Linked DNA regions of Caenorhabditis elegans. The protein of the gene in region 2 interacts with the protein of the main gene of each other region in a pairwise test. Each region holds a gene or a part of one and is shown on either strand. Other genes may lie near its edges.

Evidence for each region. Proteins that work in one complex are often made in the same cells at the same time.
Region 1: the proteins of ZK1055.7 (region 2) and mpz-6 interact in a two-hybrid assay, tested with the Caenorhabditis elegans proteins (one large-scale study listed by BioGRID).
Region 3: the proteins of ZK1055.7 (region 2) and T05A7.3 interact in a two-hybrid assay, tested with the Caenorhabditis elegans proteins (one large-scale study listed by BioGRID).

What each region holds. Positions count from the first base shown.
Region 1 is NC_003280.10:9,403,611-9,410,913, forward strand, and holds mpz-6 (PDZ domain-containing protein), read right to left. Parts: upstream 3,511-7,303; 5' UTR 3,468-3,510; intron 3,367-3,467; coding exon 3,268-3,366; intron 3,008-3,267; coding exon 2,927-3,007; intron 2,870-2,926; coding exon 2,675-2,869; intron 2,632-2,674; coding exon 2,497-2,631; intron 2,449-2,496; coding exon 2,248-2,448; intron 2,176-2,247; coding exon 1,990-2,175; 3' UTR 1,924-1,989; downstream 1-1,923. Other genes in the region: Y51B9A.5 (Ovule protein), read left to right, coding at 602-664, 872-1,081; arrd-2 (Arrestin C-terminal-like domain-containing protein), read left to right, coding at 4,244-4,465, 4,515-4,790, 4,843-5,349; M176.9 (Tyrosine-protein kinase), read right to left, coding at 5,733-6,096, 6,142-6,318, 6,362-6,918, 6,966-7,286.
Region 2 is NC_003283.11:6,600,496-6,608,736, forward strand, and holds ZK1055.7 (Protein F37C4.5), read right to left. Parts: upstream 4,881-8,241; 5' UTR 4,879-4,880; coding exon 4,738-4,878; intron 4,694-4,737; coding exon 4,574-4,693; intron 4,529-4,573; coding exon 4,294-4,528; intron 4,241-4,293; coding exon 4,132-4,240; intron 3,676-4,131; coding exon 3,021-3,675; intron 2,734-3,020; coding exon 2,281-2,733; 3' UTR 2,241-2,280; downstream 1-2,240. Other genes in the region: ZK1055.6 (Protein F37C4.5), read right to left, coding at 24-669, 838-1,181, 1,238-1,357, 1,978-2,109; gon-14 (HAT C-terminal dimerization domain-containing protein), read right to left, coding at 6,308-6,410, 6,976-7,488, 7,534-7,626, 7,674-7,840.
Region 3 is NC_003280.10:4,671,959-4,678,171, reverse strand, and holds T05A7.3 (CUB domain-containing protein), read right to left. Parts: upstream 2,392-6,213; coding exon 1,924-2,391; downstream 1-1,923. Other genes in the region: clec-140 (C-type lectin domain-containing protein), read right to left, coding at 2,443-2,693, 3,159-3,435, 3,502-3,699; hmg-11 (HMG), read right to left, coding at 4,571-4,899, 5,002-5,086.

The DNA of each region.
Region 1 (7,303 bases), on a different chromosome or scaffold from region 2:
GTCTCTACTTTTTGATTAAATGTAGGTGTATTGTTATTTTCCGGTTAATACCTGTTCTCAAGAAGTGCTCGGCATTTGGCTCTAGCTTCTTGCCCAAGTTTAGCCCAAAAAATATTAACTTGGATCAGAAGCTGTCTAAACTTGGGCAAAAGTTAGGCAAGACTTTGGCAAAACTTGGATTCAAGCCTTACCAAAGTCTAACCCAAGTTTCACCCAACTCTTGCCAAACTTTGGCCCAAGTTTGAAACGAAATAAGAAAAGTTCGGGCCAAAGTTTGGCAAAAGTTGGGTGAAACTTGGGTTAGAGTTTGGTAAAGCTTGAATCCAAGTTTTGCCAAAGTCTTGCCTAACTTTTGCCCATAATATTTTTTGGGCTAACTTAGGCAAGAAGCTAGAGCCAAATGCCGAGTGAGCCACATTCTAAAAAATATTATTTTTATTCGTAGGACACTCGAACAAAGTGAAAAAGCTTTGCGTGACCTTGGAAATATTGATTTCATATATACCACGTGGCGATTCGTTTGATAGACGGCTTCAAGCAGTTGCAAATTATTTTCCAACAATAGTTTTGCGAAAAAATCCTCGCATCGAAACAAGTAAAAATGGAAAACAAGTCACCAATGAAAGGGAGCGAAGCAGAAAATGCCAAAGATCAGTTGAAGAAGGTTAGTTTATGGAATATTTTGTAGTTTATTAATTATGCAATACTGTAAACTCTGTATCTTGAGGAATGAAAACTGCGCATTTTGACTTAATAAGTTTGAAGTGGTTAGTACTCCACGTTGTGGCCGTGGCGACGCTAGTTCGATTCCAGCAGCAGGCAACGTTTTGCACTTTCCGAAAAGTAACTTTTTAATATACAAACTTATCAGAAAACTGCTGAAGAATTCGCTCAAATGGCTATCATCAATCGTGCTTTTTCTGCTGAGTCAACTGAAGACCCACCACCACTGGCTCAGAAACGGTCCGAATCGACTTTAAAACCATTGAATGATGAATTGAAGTCGGTGCCACTGGTTAGAGCTTTCAATTCTGCTGAAAATCAACTGGATCCAAAGAATCAGAACGCTGCAAAGAAGTGAACAGTTATCAATGGGATACTTGATTTTTGAAAGTAATAAATTAGTAAAGTTAAATGTATTGCTCTCAATTTCAATAAACTTATCAATCAGTTCTGATACCCGACACAATTTTAGAGAACTCGTTTCTTGGGTTGTTTAGAAATATTTTACTCTCTGGCTTCACAGAATAATTTACTCTCCGGCTTCACAGTATATTTTACTCTCTGGCTTCACAGTATATTTTACTCTCTGGCTTCACAGAATAATTTACTCTCTGGCTTCACAGTAAATTTTACTCTCTGGCTTCACAGTATATTTTACTCTCTGGCTTCACAGAATAATTTACTCTCTGGCTTCACAGTATATTTTACTCATGGCTTCACAGAATAATTTACTCTCTGGCTTCACAGTATTTTACTCTCTGGCTTCACAGTATATTTTACTCTCTGGCTTCACAGAATAATTTACTCTCTGGCTTCACAGTATATTTTACTCTCTGGCTTCACAGAATAATTTACTCTCTGGCTTCACAGTATATTTTACTCTCTGGCTTCACAGAATAATTTACTCTCTGGCTTCATAGTATATTTTACTCTCTGGCTTCACAGTATATTTTACTCTCTGGCTTCACAGTACATTTTACTCTCTGGCTTCACAGAATAATTTACTCTCTGGCTTCACAGTATATTTTACTCTCTGGCTTCACAGTATATTTTACTCTCTGGCTTCACAGTATATTTTACTGTCATGTACATTTTCAGCCGTATCTTTAAGTGTGTATTATCAAATGAAAATGACAATTTATTGGCAAAATAGGTAGATTTTCAAAACTTTAAAAATTCATAAATCACTTCAAAGTAACTTTTTTCGAACAAATTTATTCCGAATATCTTCCTCAAGTTAAGATCCCAGACGTTTTGGAGTCATTTTCAGGGGCTTCGGAGACGGAATGTATGGGATACGAACTTCTGGGGCAGGCTCCGATGGCAAGGTGGCTGGAACTGGAGTTGGAGCTGGTGCAACGGCTGATTTGATAATACATGGAGGATTCGTGCACGGTTTCTTGTAGAAATCTTGTTTGTCTTCATAATTTCCAAAACATCAGAAGGAAGAAGCTGCAAAGAAGAAAATGAAAACATGTTTCTATATTTAAGTGAAGTGATAAAAGAAAATGGGTTTAAACTGACCACATCAAACTGCTTGTTGGCTTTTCCTTGGGGTGGTTTTGGAGGTGGAAGCATCACTGAATTTCCAGCTTTCTTCACTCCAACAGCAGTACTCTGTGCACCATCGGGAGGCAGTGGAGCAGGGCCGAGTGGATCAGTATTTGTGGATCTTTCCAATGTAAGACGTACCGTTTTTGTGTTGTTGACACTCGCATAGAGAAGCTGAAAGAGCGATAATAGTAGCCATTTGTGTTTCGGAAGATATCATACTTTTCTAGCAGAGTCACGATCAAGAACATAAATGTCATTAACTTTGACAAGAATATCTCCACCTTTGACATAGTGACACGCATTGGAAGCCGACTGAACCATTGAAATAGTTACAGTTTTTGGATCAACTGCCATCTGGAAACCATCTTTAAAAGTTTCAAGTGTCCCGATTACTGACTCTATGAATAATAATCCCTGTTGCAGCACCTCCACGATAAGTGAAAGTCAACTCAACCATCTGAGTATTTGGACGACGAGGTGGCAATGGTTTTTCAGTGACAAGGCAATGATCATCTCGCATGAACTCAATTGTCACTTTTCCAGGAAGTTTTGCACTGATTGCACGGATAAAGTCAGCAGTTGTCTTTATGTTCTGAACATTTGGATTAGTTGAAACGGAAGCGGAAACGGATCTTAAAATATTCCTTACGGTTTCTCCATTGACGTTCAAAATCTCATCACCAGCAAATAGAACACCCATCAATTGGCTACTCACGTCCACATATATGATCTCAAATGTGATTATTCAAGATCTCTTCGATTTTTGAATTGAAAATGAGTTTTTTAATAGCCCAAACTTCGTATTTATGAAAAATTAAGGAATTTTCGAATGTTAAACACATCAGGAATGCCGACAAAATTGTGCTCGTTTCAGCTCTTAGCGCGAGCCCTACGTTGAATACATTATTCAAAAAGAAATGTATTTCCATCTCAATAAATTATTTCAGAAACATTTCCCAACAAACAAAAACGAAATGAGCCCTCATTTACCTTCCCATTGACCACATCACATGCTACAACCACATTCTTCCGTTCGAATTGTACTTCTTCTTTTCCTTTTACATGAAAACTATTGTTGTTGGTTGTCATCTGTAAGAAGTTCATGTCAATGCAGTCCGCTTCTCTAGTAACTGGTAGAGTCACTATGCCCTCATTGTCAGACCCAACGCGCAATCTGAATGTTAACTTACTCCGAATGGATTGTTGCGGATACGAAAGAGCTATCGATAAGAAAATATTTAGAACTGAGTCAGTTTTTGTTTTCACTTTTTATTTTTCTGTAATTTTTTTCTGAATAAAACAAGTACAAACGATGTCACGTTGTTATATTAATTAAATTGATAAATTATTTATTATCAAAATATTATCAAATTTCGATGAGATCAATGGAATAGAACAATTCAATCATCGTTGTCTTCTGCTTTTGTCACTTTCTTTTGACCTCCTCTTACAAACTTTGAAAGTCTTGAACGAATTGTATTCAGATCTTTGCTGTATGTTGGGGCGCTGAAACCAATAAAAATTCGTTTATTTTCTCTTTATTTGAGCATTTCACCTATGAGCTGTACCTTCGGACTTTGTGCCACTATCAGATTCTTCAGTTTCAAATTGTAGGTGGGATATCAAGAAGACGTTGGAAACTTGATGGCATTGTTGGCATTTTGCTCTTTTATGCAGATCTTTTTGAAAATTGGAGATAAAAATCTGAAAATACGTTTTTCCATAACAAACACGACTTTTACACCGACACTGTTCTTCGTTGGTGCAGAAAAATTACAATATCGATTTGGAATTCTCATAAAAGAGCAGGTGGCAATCTACCACCTTTCTATATTGTCACATCACCTCCACACTCTCCGAGCAAGATGGGAAACTCCGCCCACAAACGCTGAAAGTTGATTACAACGACGTAGAATCTGTCTCATTCAGTCAGTCTTTTATTATCTCGATCTCTCCCTTTTGAATTATGTCTGTGAACATTGTTTTCTCCAATCCTTCCAAAACATACCTGCCTGGCGACTATGTCTCTGGAAAAGTGTTGCTCACAACAAAAGATCCAATTTCTGCACGATATATGGAAATCACGTGGAAAGGAGAATCAAAGTGTAATTTTGGAGGATCGGAGAGCTCAAATGTCCAACGCCATCTTGCCGGAACATTTATGGGATGGATTGCCAAAGATGGAGTTGTGAGTTTTTAATACTTAATAAATATATTTTCAAAATATTCCCATTCAGGACACAATCCCCGCTGGAACTCTCAAATCACGTTTCCGATTCCGACTTCCAGAAAATTCTCCGCCAAGTTTTTGCGGAATGTTTGGAGAAATTGAGTATTCTGTTACTGTGGAATTTGATCGTCCGTGGAGACTCAAGTTAAAAATGATGAATACATTCCGTGTGGTTCAGAAGACAAATCTGACACTTTCTGAGCCAAAAATGATGAAGTACGCGGAATTTGTCAAGTCGAAGAATTCTGGAACGATTTTCAAAGATGGATTGTTTTTGTTGAAGGTATTGTTCAATTTCAAAAGTAGAGTCAAAAAATTCACTCATTATATTTTAGCTTCACTTTTCCAAACGAGCATTCCTCGCAGGGGAGACAATCCGAGCACTTGCCATCATGGAGAATCATTCAACAAAACCAATCATTAATCTTCGTTTCGAGCTCATTCAACAATCCCATTACCACTCTCGCCCACAGAAATCATTGTGTTCTCTTAACGATTGTCACTCCGACTGCCCAATTGAATCCAAATATCGAAGAGATGGTGAAACAGTGCTCCGCGGAGCCAATTACAGTTGTGACGTCGCACCTGGTGAGGTGAAATATATCAATGTGGAGATTGATCTGCCAAATGGACTCCCGCCAACTTTCGAATCTCCAATGATCTCAATGGGATACCTGTTGGGATTTACCCTAAGAAATGGATCACTGACCGGGAATCGATTAGCATGTAATGCACGGATTGTGGTTGGAAGTGAGGAGACAATCGATGAAATGGTAGATGAATGTGAGCCGACAAAGAAGAGCCAATGCCTTACTGCATCACCACCACCATATCACCCATAAATTAATCAATGATCATATTCATTTGAATGTTTTAAAATAAAGTTTTTTTTTGAAAAAAGTTGTGTAAAACGGAATGTAGACGGAACCATATAAAAATAATTCAAATATTTAATTCAGAAAGGAAATCTGTATAATTTTTTCAGGAATAGCATTAATTGAAAAATCAATTCACAGAGAAATATGAACAAAAATAAATAAAAAAAAAAAACTTATAATGCAACTTATTTTATTCGGAAATGTACCCCAAATGTCGCCCCAATGAGAAAAATATGATACCAGCAAAGCTCGAATCTTGGATTTTTATTAAGATGTTTGTCTATTTTTTTTTTGAAAAAAAGCATATGCTCAATTTTTATTCAAGTAGAAAGAATCATAAAAACAGTTCACTCCTCTTTTGGCACTTCCTTCTTCTTCTTCGTCCTCTTGCTTCTCTGACTTTTTCTGCTTCTATCACTATTGTTTTTGAAAACTGCCAGAAGCCTATTTTTCGCTTTTCCCATCTGTAATGTCCCATCTTCACACATTCGAGCAAATCGTTCAAATTCTGCAACTGCCAATGGTATTGTGGCTCGACGAGATTCTTCGACAAAAATACAACTGCTCATGTACTCTTTTACTTCGTCTGGAGTCATTGATGGCATTGGATAGAAATTGTTAGCCATGATATCAGCCTTGATAGTTGCATTCGAGACACCTTCAAATGGTTCAGCACCGTCGACGAAGACTTCGTAGCAAGTGACTCCCCAGCTGGAAAGAACACTTGTCTATACCTCAATAGTTGATAAAACTAACCTATAAACATCAGTTGCATATGAGAAGCTCAGAGTAGCCAAGGTTTCAGGCGCGAGCCACTTTATAGGAATCTTACAAGATGTCTTTGTTGTATAAGATGGTCCAGCTCTAGATAATCCAAAATCGGTGATCTTGACCTCGTTCTCGTGAAGAAGACAATTTCTGGCGGCGATGTCCCTGAAAAGTTTTCAATCGATTTTCCAACAAAAAACCTGCTCACCGATGGATACAATTGTTTTGATGCAAGTACGCAAGACCCTTTGCAGCTCCAAGACAAAAATTGATTCGATCCGCCAGGGGCACCGATTTCGTCTGCTTCATGTAATCTTGCAAGGATCCACCTTTGACCAACTCAAGTAGAATGTACAGTGGCTGCTCATCATGAGCAACTCCATATAGGCGTACGACGTTTTTATGATTGAAGTTTCTGATGAACCTTGCTTCATTCATCATCTCCTTAATCTTCATTTTGCTCAAAAATGCAGATGCTTTGGTCATCTTGATTGCTACTTCTGCTGAACTTCCATCTTTGAGCCTCAGTTCACCAGCGCACACTTTTCCGAATGCTCCTTCACCAAGGACATCTCCAACTGTCACATCCGAGTGCATGAATTCCCATGTTTGCTGAAGAATCGGGTGTTTCAGTTGAAAATTTCCAGAAGAGCAATGACCAGTGTGCTTTGTGTAGTAGTTGATGAGATCGGCTACAGTAGCGAATGGGCGTGCTGCTTCACAGAAAAACTTGTTGGATACACGTTTAATCACCACATTATGAATCTAAAAATATGGTTATTTGTTTCAAAACTTTACTTCACTCAACTTACCCTTTTCTCTTTTTGTTTTCCTTCCATATGGCCCGTCATCAGTGATAAAATGATCTCCCGAACGACTTTGCTTTCTCCTTCAACTACTTCCGACACACGAATCAAATAATCTCCTGGATTGTGCAACGTGGCTTGTAGATCTTCGCGTGGCAGAAACCCATGATAAAATTTGAATCCTCGAAGCGTTTTCTCCAAAACCGGAAAGTATTCCCTATCGGATGTCATTAGAGACTTTTCCTCGGGAGCTGTGCATTGTGGTTTTTTCTTTTTCCGTCTTGACGATTTTCCTCGAGCACTCTTTTCTGTTGGTTGAAGGGTTGCCTGCAATGAGCCTGCCA
Region 2 (8,241 bases):
GAAAATTTGATACAATCGTTCACCTTTGCAACAAAAGCATTGTTCAAAAAGATTGAAGTTTCACCACTCAAAAGTGGCAGTACAGAAGTATTGACTGCTGAAGCTGTCAACAACGCTGATGCATTTTTGGATGGAACACTTTGATGTAAAAGTGATGGTATCAGTTCAATAGTGCCGATAGTCACTTTATGATCGTCTACACCGTTTAAAATAGTCGCTTTCCGTGCGATTCTAAACTCTGTACTCAAAGTGTTCTTTGTGACTTCCATTGGAGGTGGAGCCATTGTTTGAAGTACTTCTTCTACACCATCATCAATCTCGTTGGAATAATTGGACAACATACGAGGCCCACCTCTTCTATTCATTATTCTCAGGCCACGTTGTCGCCTCATCTTTAGTGCAGGTCTGTAGAAGTGAGCATCGAGAACACCTAGTTCAGGAATCTGTCCTCCGAGACTAGGTTGAGCAGTCGACAAAACAGCTGGAAATTCGTTCCAGTCTTCTCCACAATGGTTATAGATCTTTCCGAAATATGTAATAGCCATTGTTGGTTTCTCAGTATCCACGCGAATATCATAAGACGGCTGCCACCCAGCTTGAAAAACCTGATAAGTTATATCCAATTCAACGTCGCCATCTTCGAAAGCTTCAAGTGTAATGAAGACCGTGCTGAAAATTAGACTTCCTGAGTTTCAACAAACATTTTGATACTGTCACGTCCTAAAAAATTTTTCTGGTAAGTTGTAGGCACTAAACAAAGTAGAAATATAAATATTTCAGCGTTTTTCAAACTGTCCTATTGAACGTTTTGATACATAAAGTTATATTTAAACTTACTGAGACATATTGGAAATTCCGCTATTCACTAAGCGATTTAACTCATTTCCAATCTTACTCGCCATTTCAATTGTTTTGAGGATCTCATGCTCTTTCTCCCGCAACTGTTCATTCAATTTATTCATTTCAGTTTCTTGAAAATCTAACAATTTCTGAAGTCCTGTCAGCAGGTTCTCATCAATAACAACACTTCCGGATTCTCTTTTAGGATTCATTATTCCTTTTCCAATTCTTCCTACTGTCCGTTCTAATCCACCTATTTTCTTTTTCAATATATCTCTCTGATCCTCTTGATTATTACGTATTGCATTGTATTTGTCAAGCTCACTTCGCAACTCGGCAATCTAAAATACATAAGTAGCTTCAAAAATCTATGTAACAGGGATTTTTTTTTACTTACCTTCGGGGAGTCAGTTTCTGAGTTTAAAGAAGGGAGTTTTTTAGCGTTCACATCACAAACTGTTGCTTTCCCACGACCTTCAACTCTAATAGAATCACTTTGGAAAAATACAGAGAAGTTCTGAAAATTTGGAGTTTTAAATAAACATTTCATTAGTTTATATATTGTAGGAATTCAATGTTAACTTACAAAATAAGTTACTAACAGTTGTAAGTTTCAATGAAGTTGCAAAGATGCTGCTGAGCTCTAACTTTCTTGGCAACATTTGAAAACTCCCCGACAATGGCTAATGGTCTTAAACGCGAAGAATTTTTAGGTACGGTACGCCGTGAAAATATTTTGATAGCGATTTTAAAGATTTGAAAATAATAATTAAAAAAAAAATAATTATAGAAATCCCATAATATAACTCAATCTATTTTATGAACTTTTAGATTTTTATTGCAAAACTATTATTAGTTCTCCGCGTAACCATTTTGATACACCAAAAAGTCAAAATTTTTGCAAATTACCAGCATTTCAAAAGGTTTCAAAAACAATTTCAAAATAATGTTTAAATGTTCTTTTTAATATTTATTTTATTTGGCTCATTTTTACTATAATTTTTTATATACAACTTTTTCAGAAAGATAATCTACACAAAATGAGTTTTATATTAGTCTTTGTATGTAAATTATTCAAAAGTTGAGATTTAAAGTGTTGGAATTTCAATAAAATGATTTTCAAAAAAAGAAACTCACTTTTAAACAAATCTCACTAACTCCCGCTTTCAAATTAACTGGTACCCGTCGTTTCACTTCAGCTCGGTCACTGAGAATTGTAATTCCACTGATTTCCTGATTTCGAATGTCAAGTTCGTAAATTGATGCCATCTATAAGCGTAGATTATTCGATGGGCATATTATAACTAGAGGTGAAGAAAGTGCAAAAAAAACATTAAAAAAATGAAAACCGATAAAACGGAAATGGGAAAATTGTAAAACAAAAATTTCTGTAAAAGATAGACGACTTCATTTAAGTATCAATTCACTGTTGGATGTACTTTAGAAATTCTCTTGATATTGAACAGTTTCATCTTTTGGATGCTCCACCACATATTTGATGATCAGATCCTTTGAGCTGCTCGGAGCCAGCTTTATAGTCCACTCCAAGTGATTGCTGGAATTGAACTTTGCCCCTTCCACAGGCTCAGAATTCTCGGCTTCAGTGCCAGCCTTCTCCGCATCATATGGCGTAGCTGCTGGTGAAACTAGCTTCACACGGATCTTCTCGTCAGTGCTACGTGGAATCGCATGCTTCACGGTTAGGAGCACCGGCTGCTCATTTCTCGTATTTTTGATGGAGATTGTTTGCTCCGTGACATTTGCAGAGTGCTTGGTGATGTAACCTCCTTCCTCATGGTACTTCTTTGCCGGCTTGTACTCCACACGAATTGCCGTGTCAACTCCCAAAGAGCAAGTGAGTCTTTCACCTGGTGACACGTTTTTCAGGTGACTCTAAAAGTTGGATTTTATTAAAATATACTCAAACTGATTCAATGAGACTAAATATTTTCATATATCATTCATTATACAATGTTTTAGAGGTTTAATGACTTCTAGTTGAGTTTTGACAAATTTCCAAGTTTTGAAATTTTCTTTTTTTTTGTTGAAAGATTCAGATCATTCTTGTATGTTCAGAGTGAAACAAGATTGAATCGATAGAAGAATTCTTACTATTAAAATTTGGTTATTTCAGCAACTTAATTTGTTTTAAATCAATTTTCTCAACAAAAAAATCTTACTGTTGCGACAAATGCATTATTCAGATAGACAGATGAAAATCCAGCCAGGAGTGCAAGTTGAGAAGTATTAACAGCAGAAGCCGTGAGAAAAGCTGCAGCATTCTTACTTGGAACGGATTCATGAACAAGTTTTGGTGTAAGAGTCACAACTCCAATAGTAACTTTGTGTTCATCAGTACCGTGTGGAATTGTTGCTTCTCTGAGAATTTTAAATTCTGTGCTCAACGTGTTTTGGGTGATTTCTGAAGCAACAGCGACAGCCATTGGTGGAGCCAAAGTCACTTCATCTGAAAATCCGAGTGTTTCGGCTCGACGGTTCTGCGGTCCCCGCGCCCCAAATAATGAGGCTGATGCATTCATCGATCTTGTTTGATAATGTTGAACTTCAGGACGACGGAAGGTTGCTTCGAGAGTTCCAAGATCTGGAATTCTGCCAGCAAGACATGGCTGAGCAGTTGACAAAACAAGTGGTGCAGAAGTCCAATCTTCCTTTGTGAATTGACGGATTTTTCCAAAGTATGTAATGCTCATGGATGGTTTCTCTGTGTCAACTCGGATATCGTATGATGGATGCCACGAAGCATCTAACACTTGATAGACTACATTCAGCTCAGCTTCCAGGTCTTCTGTGCATTCCAAAGTAATTGTGGCAGTGCTAAAATTAAGTTATCAATTTGTTGGGAAGATAGGCAAACAGTGATCTTAAATACTACAGCTTAACAATGTCAAACAATAAGACTCAAAAAATAAATTGTTTCTAGAAATAGATGGAAAATCATATGGAACTTTTCTTTATAATATTTCGAATTTTTATTAGGGTTGGATGCTTTTTTGCATATCTTCAAATCTATCTGTAATCCCATTTGTATTTGAAAATAAATAGTGCATAGAAAGCAAAGCATAGCTCATTGTGCGCCTCAAATTTTTATGGGTTTTTTGATAGTTTTTCAAATTTTTTAAATGATTCAAAATTTGGTATGTTGCCAAAAGTTTGAGTTAAGATTAAGAAAGATTTGAAAAGACATATAAAGTTGTTTTTGCCCCATTTTTAGTATATTTTGGTAAATTCCCCGACTGGCACAATTCCACCTTAAACTTTTCAAAAACTCACTGAGAGAACGCTTCTTCATTCAAATTGTGCATTAGAGCTCGTAACTCGTTTTCCAGTTTCGAAACTTTTTCCTGTTGCTCACGGTGTCCAGCTTCAACTGATCGTAGTTCTAGAAAAAAAAATTAAGTTTTTTAAAATCTCAAATTTATCGTTTAAACTCACTTTCTCTGTATAATTCGGAGTTGCTCCCATAGAATTGGAAGAAATTTGTAAGACTTTCCAAAGTTCCTTCATTTAAAGAAGCAACACCATCTTTTGGTGGATTCACGAGACCCCCACCAACTTGTTCGAAAACTTTGTCCAAATTGTCAACGCATTTTTGGACAACCGTTCCGCGATCTGTGATTTTTTGGAGGCGATTTTTCTCCTCTAGAATGGCAGCTTTGAGATTGGTGATCTTAAAAAAAAGAATATATTTTCGAATTTTAATTATCTTGCCAACCTTTGGAGGATCAGCTTCAGTTGGCAAACGAGAAACATTCTTAATAACTACATCATGAATGATTGCATTTCCTCTTCCTTCAACTCTAATTGATCCTTGAGCCATTGTTTTGCAGAGGTTCTAAATTCAAAACTACTTGAAAAACTTGTTCATATTCTACAAACCTTGAGAACAACTTCATTGACACCAGATTTCAATGAAACTTTGACAAGACGACGGATTTCAGCTCTATCAGTGAATACTTTCACCTCGGCAATTTTAAGATCACGAGTCTCGAACTCGTGGACAGATGGGTTGGTGGTCATTTCTGAAAATGACTCTTTTTAAGAGGTGTGTATTTTCAAATATTAGGAATTCTAAAATAACGAAAGTATATATCACGAATTGTTGTTAATCATTAATATCGCTGCATTTCTAAGAATATATAGATTTACGGACGGTGATACAATCTTAATGTTTACTGTAGAAAATCTGGCTTGAAGTTAATTTATTCAACATATTGGTTTGGTATTTTTCTAACTGGTCGTACATTTCTACATTAAATGAACCAATGCATGAAATTTGAAGCTTGTAGCGATCACTATAGCTGAGATCGTGGCGAGACCTACACAGAAAAATAGTGTGCGCCTTTAAACTGAATTTTAAAATTTCAACGAATATACGATATACGCATGAGAGATTATAGCAGTAGTTGTCTAAAGACAAAGATATTTTTAAAAAACATCTGTATTTTGTAAATATTATTAATGTCATATTTGACGCGCAATATATCTCGTAGTGAAAACTACAGTAATTCTTTAAAGGACTACTGTAGCGCCTGTGTCGATTTACGGGATCATTTTGACTTATCATGTAGATATAATTTATCATATTAAGCAAAAATGAGAAAATAATACGAAGAAACGAAGAAAAATAGAGTATCGCTATTTATCACTATTCGAGAATAAATACGTTTCAAAAGTCGAGCCCGTAAACCGACACCACAGCTACTGTAGTTATTTAAAGAGTTACTGTAGCCTTCGCTACGAGATATTTTGCGCGTCAGATAGTCAGATAGCGCATTACGCATTTTCATAATTTTGTGTTGTAATAAATTCAGAAACATTATATAAACTGAAATAACACACTGAAATTTCCAAAACTAAAAAACGTAAAGTTGAATATTCAAAACTTTTCGAAAAGAAACGCGACGAGATGACTAAATTTCATAACGTTGATATCAGTAAAACCTTCAAATCATTTCAAAGAGAGGAAACTCTCTATTTATACCAAAGAGACAGAAAATGTTTCGCAATGTGTTTGTGCTGACTCATTGGAGACTTAGATGCAGAAAGGAAAACGCGATAGGATAATTTTTTTTTTTTTTTTTTCACATAATAATTCACAAATTTTCGAAACGTTTTTTTTCTCCCAAAAATATGAAATACCAGTCAGAGGGTATGCAAAGTTTCTTGCTGGGTCAACAATTCAGAAATGTCAAGGTGAGTTGGGAATACAGAAAAAAAGAAATGATAAGATACTCTTCAGAAAAATTGAGAAAAATAACATGATTGAGAACTATTAAACAGAACAGGGAAGTAAACTGGTCGATGAGAAAAGAAAACGTTAGCATAGTCAATTTGAAACAACATGCGGATATATCGAAACAAGTAGCATAACAAAAACAAAACAATGAAAATACCAACTAGTGACAAATAACTAAAGTGAATTGAGGTACAGATGTATGAGCTGGGATTATTGTGGAGGTTGATGTAGCTGATGGGTAACACCAGTTTTTGTACGAATGAAATACATCTTTTTCGATGCAGTCAGAGGAGTGTTTAAGTTGAAGGAGACTCTGAAAAGTTGAATATATTTAATTTAGGTTAATAATGGTATCAGCAGAAAGGATGTAATTTTATTTTAAAAAATCGAACATTTTGTTTTTCGATCTTTTGGAAAACATTTCATTTTTATGAATAATGTCATTTCTCTGATTTGAGAGATAAATCTATACATACTTTCCTCGTATTTTTTTTGAATAAAATTTTATTTCCAAAAAAAAACAACCGAACAACTTTTTCTATTTTCTATGAGAAATACCGGAAAATCGAACATTTTATGGCGACACCTTTGATACAAGGATGTCGGTTGTTTGATTTCTCACTAAAATTAAAAACCAAAAATTGTTTAATTTTTGAAAAATCGAAAACTTTCAATTTTCTGATATTTCGAAATTTTTTTTTGATTTTTCAAAAAATAGCTCAAAATTCTTAATAATTTCACTGCTTTTTAGAAAATATTCATGTTTTATTATGCTTTCTCATCAACGTAAACATTGATTTAAAAAAAATATTTTCTGAAACATTTTTTTTCGATATTTCAAAAATCGAATATTTTCTTTTTTTAATTGATCAGCTCACGAAGGGGTATTTCTGATAACTCGTAATACTTGACCATCTTTTCCGCGAATCACACTTGTTCCATTGCCTGCCGCAGGTCGTACTGCGTAGTACCTCTTCGGTGGAGGAGCCGATGGAGTCAGTTGTTCAACAATGCCCTCTTTGGATTCGGTTTTAACGACAACAGGCCTCGCGTACGGCGATGATGAAGCAACAGTGTACACTCTCTGAATCTTCTGTCTATTCGCAGCGATTTTTGCAATTTCATCTTTCAGACTTCTTCCATGTGGTGCTTCTCTGTTTGTTCGAATTGTGGGAAACGATTGTAGAATTCGATGCGGTGGAAGTGGGTTTGGATTCTGATACACAAATGGCGTTCGTTGAGGAATCATTCGTTTTGGAGGCTCGTCTGATGGTACATCTACAATCTGTAGAGCTCTCACATCGATTGCATGATACCAAGCATCTTCAGGAGAATTGGCGTCTTTTCTTCGCTTTACGCAAATTGGTTTGCACATCAAAGATCCCTTCGAGCTATAAAATAATAATGAGTTTTGGAGATCTAAGAATTAAAATTACCGATATTCAACTAATTCACTCGCTGCACGAAGTAGCATTTTCCTTTTTGAGATATCTGATTCGTTGATCGAATGTGTAAGGATACCGTACTCTCTGTAAATGTCAACTGTATTGAAATTAAGCGAATAAAATTTCCTAACCCGAGATAATAAGCGGCATCAATCGAAAACGCTGGAATTATGAAAAGCTCTCTGGCATATTTGTACAGACGAGGGAAGCGACCGGCGTGACGAGCCCACCAATCCATGATTCCAGTTTCAACACCAGTAACTCTGCACACATACTGTGAGAACGCATTGACCTCTTTCTGTAAAAATATATACCATAGGAATGAATATCGTGATTTCTAGAAATGTTGACATGCCTTCCTAAAAAAGCGAAGATTTATACAGATAGGTCTCGAAGTTTTTTTTTATATTTCCGGTCACCTTCTCGTTTCTCAAGGAAATTACTTCATTTCTGGCAAATTTTGTGGTTTTTCAAATTTTCTGTTGAACATTGTTTTAAATCAGTTTTCTACATTTTTCCGGCCGACAAAAGGTTAGAAAATCATATTTAAAACCATGTTTAACAGAAAAATAAAAACGGCAAAAATCGCTAGAAACTACATAATAACCGTAAGGAAAATAAACGAGGAAGCAGTCACAAAAATTAAAGAAAAATACCATAAACTTTTTTGCGCGACGAGACCCATCAGAATGAATTCGT
Region 3 (6,213 bases), on a different chromosome or scaffold from region 2:
ATGGAAAATAGAGAAACGCGAAGGGAGAAAAAATATTTGGAAATCTGGTTTTTTAGGCTACAATTTAAAATAACGTCGGTCAAAGGCAGGGTTGATGTTCGGTTTGATAAAATATTTTCAAATTTACTTTCTATGGCAAATAACATAAAATGAAAAAGAAGAAAAGGTCAAAAAATCAAAACGAATTTATGTGTAGATCAAAAATTATTAGCACACATAAAACTAGACCCGCTAGGAAATCGATTCAGATTTTGTGAACGAGAGGAAAAATACATGCTAATTAATGCAAATTTTTAGATGGGGGTGGATAGCTGGTTGCCCAAGTCATACAATCTAGAAAAATGGTATAATTTTTGACAAACCATTTTCTGATCTAAAGATTTCAGAGAAATGCTACTGCATCAGTTTAATTTTTGGTGTAAAATGTTTTTATTTGAATAGGATATCATTGAATGCAAGTGAAATAGAAATTTAAAAAAAAAACGTTGGCGGATAGGTTTTCAAAACAAAGCACTCCACCTAAATACAAGATTAGATAATTTATCTGTTTTTTGTGTTATTCCGCTAACCAATATGTTCAAATGGCCAAGACTCCTACAAAAACAAACAATTCGTGACGTTGGTGAAGTTTCAAAAAACTACGGAAAAACATGGTCAATTGCTGAGGTTCACAGCTATTTTTTAGCAAACGGATCATGGTTAAAGGATTAAAGAAAAATATTTTCACAAATGTTTGAAAATCGCATTATATAAACCTAGTAAATATCAAGACAATATCTACATGCAAAATGAACAGATCGCGAAAACCTTATCAATATTGTTTATCAATGGGTCCAAACTACTCGAATACTAGTTAATGTGTTCTCTGTAACAATAGACTATAGAATTTTATTTGTTAAAAATTAGATTTCCTGCCAAAAACCAATGACCTCACAATTTCTGCCGTCGTCAATTGTCTCATTTGTCAATTGAAAGTGATATCATTCTTGATTTCTGATAAAAACCAGTTATTGGGGAATTCGAGAAAAAGTGAATAAGATTTCAATAAGAAATTTGAATTTGAAAAAATGAATTGAAATTGGACTATTTCATTTTAATTTATTGATAGAGCATTAAAAAACATTTGATAGCTTTAACTTCAGTTGAAAATTTTGAAAAACGCTCACGTATAGTTTGAAAGTTGAAAATTGATGGAAAAAATTGACAAATAATGCGACATTTTTTCCTGTAACTTCCGACTTTCAGACAATTTTTGAGCATTTTTTAAAACTGTTCCAACTGAAATTAAAGCAAATGTTTTTTCTAGACTCTGTAACTAAATTTTAATAACAAATATTGGCTCATTTCGTAAAAATGCTTGTCAACGATTACCAATTTGGTGTGAACTAACTTGGAATTGATGTCCGCGGGAATTTTTGGGTTAATTATTTTTATCACTTTCTCATTTTATTTTCTTTCAAAAATTCGAAATTTCAGCCCCCAAAGTCACAAAATTCTGTCGACTCATTTTTAAATATTTCAAATCAATTTTTCCAACTAAAGATCGGTTTAAAGGTTTTTTTGATGCAGAGCAAAATACCCACAAGTGCTCAAAATTGTTATTTTCTAAAGCCAAAAATCCAAAAAACACATTAGTAAATAATATAATAACTTGTAAACTTGATGTTGATCATGATCATAGCCGATGCAATCATAGACCAGAAGTTTAGAGAACGAGAATTTACGGTGACAAGTGATTGGTAGTCAGCTGCTTGTGCACTCGTGAAGATGAGTCAATGAGTCTGGGTACCTACTTGTTGGTCCAATATGATTGCGGATCAAAAAGATACGATTCTCGTGACTTTTTTTTTCAAAACTCTGAAGCTTCTTTGTGGAAAACTCTTAAAAATAATTCCAATGATTTATTATTTTATGATTTTTTAGTTAGAAGGATAAAAATTTTGCTGAAAATCCACGATATCCATTATAATTCCCACTTGTGAAAGAGACAGTCATTGTGTTGGAGCTGCTGTAATAGTTTCCCAACGATGAAGATCGCGTCAGAGAAACAATCAGTGATCCATTTGAGTCATACACTAGAACGTATGAATTTTGGGACATGGAGAGATCCGAGAAATATATGCCAATACGGTATGCACCAAGAGTTGTCAACTTATAAACACAATATGAGGGGATTGGAAAAGTACTAGGATAATTGGGCGAAGTAATTGTTCCGGCATCAAAAAGAGCAGTTGAGTTACATCCTGATGGATTCGTTGGCGCTGGTGTGATAATCACAGGAGGGGCTGGCGTTGGTGGTCCACAGGTTATACCAGTTGGACGTTTACACAGGAAATACTGAGTCGCTGCACAATCAGATTTTGACCAAGTTAAATCAGTTTTAACTGCCATTTGAAAGCAGTTTCCAGTGGTTCCAGTACGAGGGTTTATGTGAGCAAAGTCTCAGTGGCTAAGATCAGACCAATATGGAGCCATGGGAGCCGTTGATAGACCGCCAATTGTAACACTCGATATATTGAATGGGCTGTAGATTCCTTGAATGTAGCTGAGCTCTCTTCTCGAGTGAATAGAGACCAGGTTTGCACAGTTGTCTTGACAGGATTTGTAGGCATCATTGAATGAAAGGATGGGAGATGTCGAGTTTTCATGAGACATTATGTAGCAGTAGCCATTGTAATTGTGAGCGCAGGAATCTGAAATTCTGGAAGATTAAATGAGAAGTAGAGAGGTGGTTTATCTTTTTTATATTATATTTGTTTATTTCTTCTCAACCATTCAAAATTTCAAAAAAAGCAATCAATTACAGACAAAAATCAAAATATAAAACAAACGATTGAATAGTGGGGGAGGAAGAAACAATTTAAGATGACCGATTGGAACAAGTCCGTGGCCAAATGTGGGTCTTCTTAGAAACACATTTCATAATTAGATATATCCTTATCGGAATCAGGTACTAAAAGTGTTACTAAAATATAGAAAAGGGTCGGTCTCACTTTTTGAGCACAATTGACAGTTTGTGATCAACTCCTGAAGCCCAATAAGTTCTCAATAAACTCTTGTACTCTTCCAAGAAGTCACGTTTCTGTCTTATCAAAATTTCGAAACTAAATCAAATTTATTGTTGCTTAAAATAATTTTTACTATGAAGTCACAATTACCTGCTCTTGTCATCGGAATTTCACAAACATATGCCATTTCCACATTATCACACTCTGAACTAATCCATTGTCCAGCCAAAGACCCACTAGTTGCACTGTAGACACATCCTCCAATATCGGTATTTGGAAATCCTTTTGCAAAATTGTTGAAAGCGGTATCAGTTCCTAGGTCATCATCAAAATAGCAAGAAGATGGATTATTGGATTCCAGGCAGTAGACACCAATCCAGAAGCTCAAGCCAATATTTCCAACAAACTGGGTGACTGCTCGGTTATCCTGGATATCGAGAGATTTTTTTTAATTTGGTCACAAAAAAAGTATGATTTTAGTAAATCAACTCACAATAGAATTTCTAATATTCACTAGAGTTCCTCCATAAGATGCGCAGTTGGCTTCAGCTGTCCGGTGCTTCACCGCTGAGCTAAACAGCTTCAAGCACTTGTTAGAGTTTACTACAGTAAATCCGTTGTTACAGATCAAAGAGTCACCAAAGGCAAATGTCAGGTACACCAGTACCAGGAAAATGAAGGAAAAGTGCATTTCACAAATTGAGTAAACTAGCAAACTATCAGCGACTGATTAGTTTAAATAATGGCATCGGGAAAGTACGGAAGAACTGATAACATAAGTTCGGCTACAAAAGAGATTATGAAATTTGCTGATGGACACACCCATTAAGTTTTTGATAATTTCTGAAATTCAAGTGATAATAATTAGTTGATTAGTTTTTATACCCGGCAAACCTCACCGAAAAATGAAAATTTCAAAAAAACGCAGAAATATATATAATGGTCAGTTCCATTCAATCTCAAAATGTTTCATAAAAGGTATGACTGAAAATACACTGTTTCTGCTTGCACTCGGTGGTTATGGAAGCTTTCAAAATTTGGAAAATCTACATAAATTGTTAGTTCCAAATTCGAGTGAAAATAATTAGTTGATTTGTCTTTACGCCTGGCAAACCCCACCAAAAAATAGAAAAAATATATAACCTTACGGTAGCTACAAAATTTTATTCGTTTCGAATCGGGGCACCGTATTCCTCCGTTCACGTGGTGTCAGACTGTCACATCGCTCCACTGCACACGAAAGGCGGGAGAATACATATTCAAAATTGCGCTGTGACGTCACAAAAGTTGAAGAACTATTTCCCGCTGTTTGTGTGCAGTGGGGCGATGGGACAGCCTGACACCACTTGAAGCTGCTCATTTTGACTTGCTCGAAATCATTTTGGTTGATAAGAGGTCTTTGAGATCGAATTGCATTGAAAATTTAATTTTATTTATTTTCACACTCACTTGACGTTCAAAAATCATAAATACATAAATAATGGCTCAGGAAATTAAAAGTGAAAAGGTCGGAGTATCTTAAAATGAGACGAAGAGGAGACCGTTAATGAAGATCCTTGGATCTAATTCTTCTTTGGGCGTCCACGTCCCTTCTTCTCTCCAGTCAAAGCAGCAAGAGCCGGTGTGGCGACATCAGTCTTGGCTGGCTTCGTTGCAGCAACATCCTCAGCGTAGCTCTTTGGTGCTCCACGAGAACGCTTTGGAGAAGCATCGGCGGACGATGAAGCAACTGGCGACTTGGCAACTGGAGACTTGGCAACTTGGTCAGACTTGCGTGGGCGGCCACGTGGTGCTCCAGAATACGGCTTTGGAGCCGGCTTGACTTTTGGGACCTTGGTTCCCTTTGGTGGACGTCCGCGTCCGCGACGAACTGGTGAAGATCCGTTGGCGCCTGAAAAAGATAATTTTTAATGAATTAGTCAGATTTATTGGATTCTAAAAACTGAAATTATCTTGAATAATACTACAATTTAAAAGGCAAAAAAAAACGTACTTGATGACTCGGTCACAGCTGGAGAATCTTCTTGAACTTCATTGGTAGAAACAAGGCATTCGTTGGATCCAACTTCTCCACTCATTCTGAAAATTTATACATTTTTATAATATAAATACAAAGCAAAAAATAAAAAAGTAAAAGAAAAAAATTTTCAAAAAAATCCAGAGACCAATTCAAATATCGTATGAAACTGGTGTGAGACAAACAAGCAAATGTCAGAAAAACTCCCTGAACTAGATACGGAGAGATCCGTTCGTTAGAGCGACGCGGTCGCGCTGCGGTTTAGAATTAAATTCAAAACTCGGTCGCGTGCGAGAGACGCAGGCGTTTGGGACACCAAACGAGCGTGCTGACCTCGAACATGGGAAAGAGCGAAGAGGAGTAAAGAGGGGAGAATGTGTCACACTGCAAAAAAAAAATGAGTAAGCAATTATTAGAGCGAGAATGTGTGTGGGGCCCTTGGAGGAGGGATTAGAAATTAAATCGATACATAATTTGGAAACAATGGACAAACAGATGTTCTAATGTCGTGACGATGTGTGCATGGAAAATAAATAGGCAGATTGTATCGTTTTTAACATTCAAACAGCTGCGTCTTGGCAACATGCCAGTGAGATCCTAAGAAAGGTTATAGGCATCATGGGAAAACTGGAAAAAACGAGACACTTGATTCTGACGTTATGTTTGTTTAATGTTAAGTATAAATGTTCCTGGTTGTGACAGAGAAATAAATTGGACGATGTAGAAAAATCTGTGGATTAACTTTGCTTCAAAAAAATCCCTAGATGTGGGTCACTATAAAAAATAGACCCACCTGATGTCAGCTGCTGTAAAATTCTTTGAAATGAAGTTTTATAATTTTGATACTAGGAAACATGTAAAACAAGTAATTGGCAACATTTTCTTAGTTGAAAATATTTTGCTAATATCATAGTTTTTCAGTTATGCGTGTTTGAACAACTCAAGCACAATCACATAAAAAAACTGAAAACGAGAAGAGTTTTGGCCGATACTGTACGTTTTTGTTTTAAATTTGAGCACAAATTTTGCTACTCTACCTTAAAAAACAGTTATTCTGGAACTATCCATAGAATTTTTTAAATTTAAAAACTTTTAACCAATTTCAACAATTTTTGAAATTAGGTAAATTTTTTTTGTAACTGGGAAATTCTTGTATAATGCTCAAATAAAAATACAAAAAATAACATG